Linked DNA regions of Oryctolagus cuniculus. The protein of the gene in region 1 interacts with the protein of each later gene in a biochemical or structural test. Links are inferred from orthologs where the notes say so. Each region holds a gene or a part of one and is shown in the gene's direction. Other genes may lie near its edges.

What was found.
Region 2: the proteins of CD2BP2 (region 1) and CD2 interact in a biophysical measurement, tested with the Homo sapiens proteins (6 studies listed by BioGRID and IntAct, with this or other methods). The link is inferred for Oryctolagus cuniculus from reciprocal best matches to the Homo sapiens genes CD2BP2 and CD2.

Annotation. Positions count from the first base shown.
Region 1 is NC_091450.1:6,706,240-6,710,634, forward strand, and holds CD2BP2 (CD2 antigen cytoplasmic tail-binding protein 2), read left to right. Parts: upstream 1-1,553; 5' UTR 1,554-1,683; exon of another isoform or gene 1,684-1,828; intron 1,829-1,939; exon of another isoform or gene 1,940-2,208; 5' UTR 2,209-2,234; coding exon 2,235-2,309; intron 2,310-2,472; coding exon 2,473-2,608; intron 2,609-2,714; coding exon 2,715-2,872; intron 2,873-2,994; coding exon 2,995-3,430; intron 3,431-3,516; coding exon 3,517-3,623; intron 3,624-3,712; coding exon 3,713-3,823; 3' UTR 3,824-4,040; downstream 4,041-4,395. Other genes in the region: sesquipedalian-1, read right to left, coding at 73-684. UniProt on the Homo sapiens protein: Involved in pre-mRNA splicing as component of the U5 snRNP complex that is involved in spliceosome assembly.
Region 2 is NC_091438.1:53,725,068-53,729,544, reverse strand, and holds the start of CD2 (T-cell surface antigen CD2), read left to right. Parts: upstream 1-1,604; 5' UTR 1,605-1,858; coding exon 1,859-1,919; intron 1,920-2,059; coding exon 2,060-2,383; intron 2,384-4,477. UniProt on the Homo sapiens protein: CD2 interacts with lymphocyte function-associated antigen CD58 (LFA-3) and CD48/BCM1 to mediate adhesion between T-cells and other cell types. CD2 is implicated in the triggering of T-cells, the cytoplasmic domain is implicated in the signaling function.

The DNA of each region.
Region 1 (4,395 bases):
GTGGGAAGGAGCCAGGGCCTGGGTCTCCGGTGATCTCTGCAGACGGGTACTCCCTGGCCTTTGGTCTGCCTCTCAGTCACTCGACAAACACTGGTTGAGCTGCTCCAGCTTTGCCTGGGACCTGGCTTCCCGGAGTCCTCTGTGCACTGCCAGCAGCACCCGGATCTCCTTCCCAAAGCGCTCGTGCAGCTCCTGGAAGCTGGAGTGGGGCCCGAGGATGGCTAGAAAGCCACAGTCCTCGGCGGGGCACCTGGGTTCTTGGCCAGCCGCCTGGCAGAGCTCCCGGTACTGGGCCTCCATGGGGGGAAGCAGCCTAGCCAGCCGCCTCCAGCTCACCCCGGCCAGCGCCCACAGCCAAGCCCTCAGCTCCTCCTGGCTTTCTGCGGCCAGCTTGTAGGCCCGCCCCCCTGTGCCCTCTCCCCCGGGGGTCACGATGGTGAAGGCGAAGGGCTCTGCGGCCTTAAGGCGAGGCTCCACCCGGCAGCTCTCCAACAGGATGAGGCCCAGGGGAGTGTGGGCTTCCTGGTGTTCCAGGTAGAAGAGGAGGTTTCCACGGAGGACAAACCAGCGGCGCTGGTAGCTGCTGTTTCGGGCCCCCTTCTTCAGCAAGATGCCCTCCTGGTCTGGGGCCTGGGCTCTGCAGCCTTGGAAGAAACTGAGCACAGACTTGCGGTGCAGTTTCATGGTGGTGGCCCTGGAGGGACCCTGGGGGAGAGAGGAGTGGTCCCCTGGTTGCCTGGGAGGATGCTCACGCCCTCCTAGCTCCAGCAGGCTCTGCCTGGGCACAGTCTTGGCCTGCACACCCTTGGGCGTTAGCTGTCTTGTCCCACCACCCAGGGCCAGGCCCGCCCACCTCCCCGCCTCAAATCCCATCACCTAGGCAGGGTCGCTGGGCCCTGATTGCTAAGGGGGCGGGGGCTTCATCCCACCGCTGTGGTGCCGGAGGGACCATTGCCCTTTCCTAGGCCTACCTGAGAGCAGGCACAGGGGCTTCTGGGCTGGCCACAGGGCACCCGCGACAATGCCACCTCTGCAGCAGTGGCTGCCCCGCCTCAGAAATCAGGAACTGGCTCCGCGGACAGGCGTGGAGCACGTGATTTCCCCTGGGTCCTAAAGGCGGCTGGGTTCTGAAAGTGTCCCAAGTGCCCTCAGAGGCCATCAGGTGAGCCTGGCTTCCCTTAGGGAGAAGAGCAGGGCCGCGCCTCACGCTAGGAGAGGGCGCAGCTCTGACAAGTGTAAGGCACTTGGCCAGTCTGCGGGAAACGGTGGTGCGAACCCCGGAAGGGGCACCTGGGGCTGGAACCCATCGGCTCTGCTCCTCCTCTGCCCCTCCATCCTGACCCTGGGCTCCCCTCTAAGTGGAGTTGCATCCCCCAGAGGCTGCGTGAGGGCATCGAAGCCACTTCGGGGCATCCTCCGCGCCGATCAGGGTCTAGGCGCCCGCACACTCCTCGCCGCTGCAGACCCGCGCGGCTCACGTCACTCCTGGCGGGGGACAGGGTTGGAGGTTGCCGCCTAGCTCACTACCTACTTCCGCCCGCTCTTCCTGTTAGTCCTTCAAGTGGAGTGAAGCCACTTCCGGCCTCCGCCGTACGCTTCCGGGTGATGGCGGCCAGGTGCCCCGGATACAGCCCTGGTGAAAGCATCTCTCCTTTTCTTCCCCTGCCTCCCCTAGATCCCCAGGTGAGCGCGCGCGGGGCTGGCTGCCGGAGTCCCCGTGGCTGTGCCGCCCTCTAATCTGTACACACCCCGGGACAGTTGGGGGGTCAACCACGTGGAATTGGGAGTTCGGCGCGAGGAGGAGGAGCAGAGCGGCCGGGAGCGCCAGGTCCTGGGTCGGCCCGGGCCCCGCGGGCTCCGAGGGCTTTGGGGTTGCGGGAGCGGGTGTGTGTGCCCGCCGAGCCCGGTAGCGCTCAGACTGCGGAGGCCGGATATGGGCGTGGTCACGTGGGGGAGCCGGGCCCCTGTCGTCGGGGTGGGGATACTCCCCGCGTCTGGCCTGGCGTCCCAGCTCCGTTAGCTCTGGGATGGCGAGCCGAGGCCGTGGGAGCCTCCGGGCTGCAGCTCCCGCTCTGGCCCCCGATTCTCTGTGCTCTTCCCTCCCAATGGACCTGGCACGCACCAGGAAGCGTGTCCTGTGGCCAGGGTTCTCTTGCAGTGGGTGGCCTCCCGCTCAGGCCGCTTCCTCTGCAACTTTTCCCCCATCAGGTTAAGGGAAGCCCCCCTGGCCCGTCATGCCAAAGCGGAAAGTGACCTTCCAAGGCGTGGGAGACGAGGATGAGGATGAAGTCAGTGTTCCCAGGAAGAAGGTGAGGGGGCCAGACCGTTTTGTTGGGGGGAGGGGAGGCAGAGCGGAGCCTGAAGAGGAGGGCAGGTCCCCCAGGACTGGGTTTGGAGGGTGCTCAGCTTGGGTGCAGATGCTGGAGTCTGGGAGGAGCTGAGAATTCTGCATTTCTCCCTTCCTGCTCTCAGCTGGTGGACCCCGTGACTGGGCCCGGGGGTCCCGGGAGCCGCTTCAAAGGCAAGCACTCCTTGGACAGCGATGAAGAGGATGATGACGACGAGGGGTCCAGCAAGTATGACATCCTGGCCTCAGAGGATGTGGAAGGTGAGTAGCACCCAGGGAGGGACGAGTGGGGACTTGAGGGAGGGAGGTTCCTGTCTCTCTCTTTTTTTTGCATGCCTCGCATGGGGCGACTCTGTCTCTGATGCAGGTCAGGAAGCAGCCACGCTCCCCAGTGAGGGAGGGGTGCGCATCACTCCCTTCAACCTGCAGGAGGAGATGGAGGAAGGCCACTTTGATGCCGATGGCAACTACTTCCTGAACCGGGACGCTCAAATCCAGGACAGCTGGCTGGACAATATTGATTGGGTGCGGCCCAGGGCTCAGCACGGCTGGGGTGGGGTGGGGGGGCTGGATCTGGGCTCCTGGAGCAGGTTTGTAGGAAACAACCCCCTGCAGCCCCCGACCCTGACCCCTTTCTTGCATTCTAGGTGAAGATCAGGGAGCGGCCCCCGGATCAGCGCCGGGCTTCAGACTCGGAGGAGGAGGACAGCCTGGGCCAGACACCACTGAGCGCCCAAGCCCTCCTCGAGGGACTTCTAGAGCTGCTGCTGCCCAGGGAGACAGTGGCCGGGGCACTGAGGCGGCTGGGGGCCCGAGGAGGGGGCAAAGGGAACAGCAAGGGGCCCGGGCGGCCCAGTTCCCCCCAGCGCCTGGACCGGCTGTCTGGGTTGGCTGACCAGATGGTGGCCCGGGGCAACCTTGGCGTTTACCAGGAAACTCGAGAGCGCCTGGCCATGCGGCTGAAGGGGTTGGGGTGTCGGACCCAGGGGGCCCAGGATTCCACGCCCCCGCCCTCCCTGGACATGTTTGCGGAGGAGGTGGCTGAGGGGGAGCTGGAGACCCCGACCCCTCCCCAGAGAGAAGGTGAGCTTTGGAGGGCAGAGGAGGGGCAGCGGTGTGGACTGGAGGCCGGGCAGTGGAGCTCCAATCGGCTCCGCCTCTGGTTGCAGAGGCAGAGTCGGCGGGCGACGGCCTGGTGGACGTGATGTGGGAATATAAGTGGGAGAACACCGGGGAGGCCGAGCTCTACGGACCCTTCACCAGTGCCCAGATGCAGGTGAGCGCCCCCCCCCCTCCCCCGCACGCCCCGCCCCACCCCCGGCCCGCCCCGCCCCGCCGTGTCAGCCCCGCCCTGTCTACCTGCAGACCTGGGTGAGCGAAGGCTACTTCCCAGACGGAGTCTACTGCCGGAAGCTGGATCCCCCGGGTGGTCAGTTCTACAACTCCAAACGCATCGACTTCGACCTCTACACCTGAGCCTGCGGAGGGCCCAGTTGGGCGCCCCCCCCACCTCCCCCGTTCTCTGCTGGACTTTGGGGGAGCCGGCCCCCAGCTGCCTTGGGCAGGGAGAAGATTGGAGGCTACTTTTCAATTTCTGTTTTTCCCAATAAAATGCCTTTAGTGGTGTGCGAGGGCCTCGGCTGTGCTGACGGCCAGGAGCCGGGGGCCGTCTCCACAGCCCTTCAGACTGTTATGTGTTTGTACGCTTTTTCCTCTGCCGTGGTCTCTCCCCGGTGCCTTGAACCCTCCTCACCTTCGTTTCCCGCCTCCCTGACTGGCAGGTGTCCTGTGTGGGCCCCGCCCTGATCTGCGCCTGCGCGGGCTTCTCGCTGTGCTGACCTCGCCTCCTCTGTCCTCACAGCCGCTGGGGACCTGAGCCCCGGGCCCAGGAATTGCAGGTGTTAGTGGGACGTCTCGAAGACCAAGGATGAGCAGGAATTCTCTTTTTTTTAATTTTTTTAAAAAAGATTTATTTATTTATTTGAAAGTCAGAATTACACAGAGAGAGGTCTTCCATCCGCTGGTTCACTCCCCAGTTGGCTGCAACG
Region 2 (4,477 bases), on another chromosome or scaffold:
TCCTTTCTCCTGCTCTCGCCCAGCCCCTCCCACTGTTCTTCCTCCTTATCAGTGCTTTTCCCGAACTATAATGTTAACCACCTTCAATGTTTTGGAATATTTTCTGGTTGCTTAATAGCATTTCTTTGTCTCTGTGCCTTTGTTTGTTTTGGAATAGATTTTTACTTACCTAACTCTGAATTTCTTTCTTTTTTAAAAAAATTTATTTTATTTATTTGAAAGTCAGAATTACAGAGAGAGGTAGAGCCAGAGAGAGAGAGGGAAATTTTCCATCTGCTAGTTCACTCCCCAAATGACCGCAATGGCCAGAGCTGAGCTGATCTGAAGCCAGGAGCTAGGAGTCTCTTCTGGGTCTCCCATGTGGGTGCAGGGGCCCAAGGACTTGGGCCATCTTCCACTGCTTTCCTAGGCCATAGCAGAGAGCTGGATTGAAAGACGAGCAGCCGGGACTCGAACCGGCATCCATATGGGATGCCGGCGCTTCAGGCCATGGCGTTAACCTGCTGCGCCATAGCGCAGGCCCTAACTCTGAATTTCAATAGAGTTATAAAATGTATGTTAAGGGGCTGGCGCTGTTGCATCATGGATTGAGCCTCTGCCTGTGGTGCTAGCATCCCATGTGGGCGACGGTTCAAGACCCAGCTGCTCCTCTTCTGGTCCAGCTCACTGTGGCCTGGGAGGGCGGTGGAAGATGACCCAAGTGCTTGGGTCCCTGTGCACACGTGGGAGATATAGAGGAGGAGGCTTCTGGCTCCTGGCTTGGGATCTGCCCAGCCACCTGGGGAATGGACCAGCAGATGGAAGACAGCTCTCTGTTTCTCTCTCTGTAACTCTACCTCTCAAATAAATAAATTTTAAAAAGAGCTATGTTGGCCAGCACTGTGGCTCACTAGGCTAATCCTCCACCTTGTGGCGCCGGCACACCAGGTTCTAGTCCCAGTCGGGGCGCCGGATTCTGTCCCGGTTGCCCCTCTTCTAGGCCAGCTCTCTGCTGTGGCCAGGGAGTGCAGTGGAGGATGGCTCAAGTACTTGGGCCCTGCACCCCATGGGAGACCAGGATAAGTACCTGGCTCCTGCCATCGGATCAGCGCAGTGCGCCGGCCACAGCGGGCCGGCCGTGGCGGCCATTGGAGGGTGAACCAACGGCAAAGGAAGACCTTTCTCTCTGTCTGTCTCTCTCACTGTCCACTCTGCCTGTCAAAAAACAAACAAACAAACAAACAAATGAGCTATGTTAAACATACGTTTTGAGGATTGTAGGCATCTGCAGCTGAGACATAATGTATGTTTCTTTTTCTTGCACAGTTTTAGAGTATTATAAAAACATCTTTTGGGACAGAGAAAATCCATTTCCTAATATTTCCTATGAGTGCATTCTCCAATACTGGTAATATAATAATGGGTTAAACATTTGTTTCCTTCTACTCTCTTCTGAACATTCATCCACCCATCCCTGTGCTCTTAGAAACTATGTAGTTGAGTAGACGAAAGATGGGCTGTGTATTAGAACCGGCCCCTCATTTACAAAAGGCCGGACCTGGCTGATGCTCCACCCCTCAGCTCTTTTTCTCTTTAATGGGGATAAAGCCAATTCTTTCCCTCATTTTTTTTTTTCCGGTGAAGATGAAAATGTGATTAGAAAACGTGCTTTTAAACACACCTGCTTAGACAAAGGAAAACATCAGAAGGGTTGGTTTGTTAGTGTGTGTGTGTACGCGTGTGTGTGTGTTTCATGTCACTGTACCAGAAGAAAGGGGAGAGGCACGTGGTTAAGCTGGCAGGGTGGATTCCACCAGTCTGACTACAGTTCCTTTTGCGAGAAGAGCTCAGACCCACAGCAAGGAAATTGACCCCGAAGATGAGACTCCCAGATAAAATGCTGGCCAGCTTGCTTGTGATTTTCAGCTTTTCCACCAAAGGTAAGGTGCTGTGTGGGTCTGCAGTGTCAAGCAAGCTTCTCTGGGAACCCTGAAGTGAGCCTGAGAGCGAAACGGCACAGCCCAGCCTTGCCCTGAAGCCGGGCGACTTCAGGCCTCAGCCACTGTCTTGCTTTTCGTAGGTGCAGCTTCGTGGGGTACGAAGGTCTCCTCGGATCCGGAGGTCGTCTGGGGGGCCTTGGATCATGACGTTGAACTACGCATCCCGGATTTCTCAATGAGTGACGATACCGAGGATATACGCTGGGTCAGAGAAGAAAGCAGGGTTGCACAGTTCAAAAAAGACAAGGACACCTACAGTCTCAATGGGACTTATGAGCTCGTTGGAAATGTAACTCTGAAAATTAAACAACTAAACAGACATTCTAACAGTAGCTACAAGGTTATCATATATAATACAAAAGGAGAGTGTGTGTTGGAAAAAACGTTTGATTTGAAGGTTCAAGGTAAGTCTTCGTTCCCTAAACTTCTCCGTTTCAGCTGGGTGCTGTTTTAGCAATCTGGGAAAGAGCATCTGGGAAATGTCCCCAACTGCATTTGCCACCTCCAGGAGCACTCTAAGGGACTTGTCTCCTGCCCCGGTGAAGACTTTGTTCAGGGGCGTGTGTGTGTGTGTGTGTGTGTGTGTGAGGGCATGAAATCCACACACATGGAAGTGCACGCTGATGAACCCTCAAGTGCATCTGCCCACAGTTCCCTCTCGGGCTGATTATAGAGCTGTGGGGCTGGGTGACCAACCTGGACATTAGGGTGGCACTAATTGGGGCCGGGGGACAGGCGGGCAGAGGAAAAGTTAACAGTTCCAGATGGGTGATGCAGTGGGGCACAAGGTGTGGGGCCGACAGGTGGAGGATGACGGGCGAGCCAGCTTCAAGCCAGGGGTCCTGGAGGAAGAGTTCTATGGCACGAGAGTTGGACACCATGAAGCCTTTGTTTCTGATCTGCTCCATGGCAGAGGGGTCAAGTGGAGAAAAAGCAAGAGGTGGGGCTTGTCTGTCTGCCTGCCCTGGGAGCGCAGCTGTGGACGTTGCAGATGGAGCCAGCGAGCTGCCAGAGCTGCTGCTATAATGCAGTGAGGGACGAGGGGCTGCTGGGAGTGCTGGTGAGGCTGCGTGTTGGGATCAACAGGGACGGCCCCCACTCCAGACCATTTGGCAGGAATTTTTTGGCACGGGGTCTGGGCCTGGGTCGGCTCGAACGCTCCCAGGTGAGACCCCAGGTGATCGGCGGGAGCAGCCTGGTTGAGGGATGAGTGTTCCCTGAGTTGCCTGTGAAGAAAGCATGGGGGGCGGGGAGGTGGACCTGAGATGCCATTGACATTGAAAGGCTAGGGTACATGGGGCAGGGAGCAATAAGAAGTCAGAGGAGGAAATGACACCTGGCCTGCCAAGGAAGACAGGAGCCCCAGCCCGAGCCCAGGTCAGCAATTTCATACGCACAAGAACGTGTCTGTGCTTCACACAGGAAGTGTCACGGGGCAGAGCCCCTCCCCCCACTTAGGTCCTTCTCAGCACCTAGGCCCAGTGGCAGCTTCACAGCCCCGCACATGACCCGCTCCCCTGCCACTGCCACCTTTCCACACCCTGGTGCTGCAACGGTGACTGCAAAGCACCTCCCGGAAGTGGGATGTGGCTGGGAAGGGTCCCAGAAGGGGCCTTGTGTCATGGGCTCTGGGAACAGTGCAGCCATGACTCCAGCCAGGTCGGCTCCATGCCCGCCATTGAATATGAGCCCCACACAGAGGCGCGTGCTGGGTTTTCCCAGTGCTGTGGTGTTCGGCACCACGGTGGTAATAACAGCTACGGCTAGGTGTCAGGTGCCTGCTTGCTGGTCTCACCCGAAGCCCTCAGCAGTCCCTAGAGGAGGTTGTTACTATTCCCCAGAGACCCGGCAGGAAGTGACTTGTCCAAGGTCTCATCATTTGTCCAGACTCAAACCTAGGGAGGCTTGGGCAAGGGTGGCGGCCGCCACAAACAGTTTCACTGGGATATAATTCACACACCATATGGGAGCCGGTATGAGACCTGGCTGTTCCACTTCTGATCCAGCTCTCTGCTGTGGCCTGGGAAAGCAGTGGAAGATAACCCAAGTCCTTGGATCCCTGCACCAGTGTGGGAGACCCAGAAGAAGCTCCTGGCTCCTGGCTTTGGATCAGTGCAGCTCCGGCTGTTGCAGCCATGTGGGGAGTGAACCAGCGGATGGAAGACCTCTCTCTTTGCCTCTACTTCTTTCTCTGTAACTCTGCCTTTCATACAAATAAATATTTTTTTTTTTAAAAAAGAAGAATGAAAAGAAGAGTTACAAAGAGGCAGAGGCAGAGGCAGAGGGAGAGGTCTTCCATCTGCTGGTTCACTCCCCACATGGCTGCAATGACTGGAGCTGGGGTGATCCGAAGCCAGGAGCCAGGAGCTTCCTCCAGGTCTCCCACATGGGTACAGGGGCTTCTGCTGCTTTCCCAGGCCATAGCAGAGAGCTGGATCAGAAGTGGAGCAGCCGGGACTTGAACCAGTGCCCATGTGGGATGCTGGCACTGCAGGCAG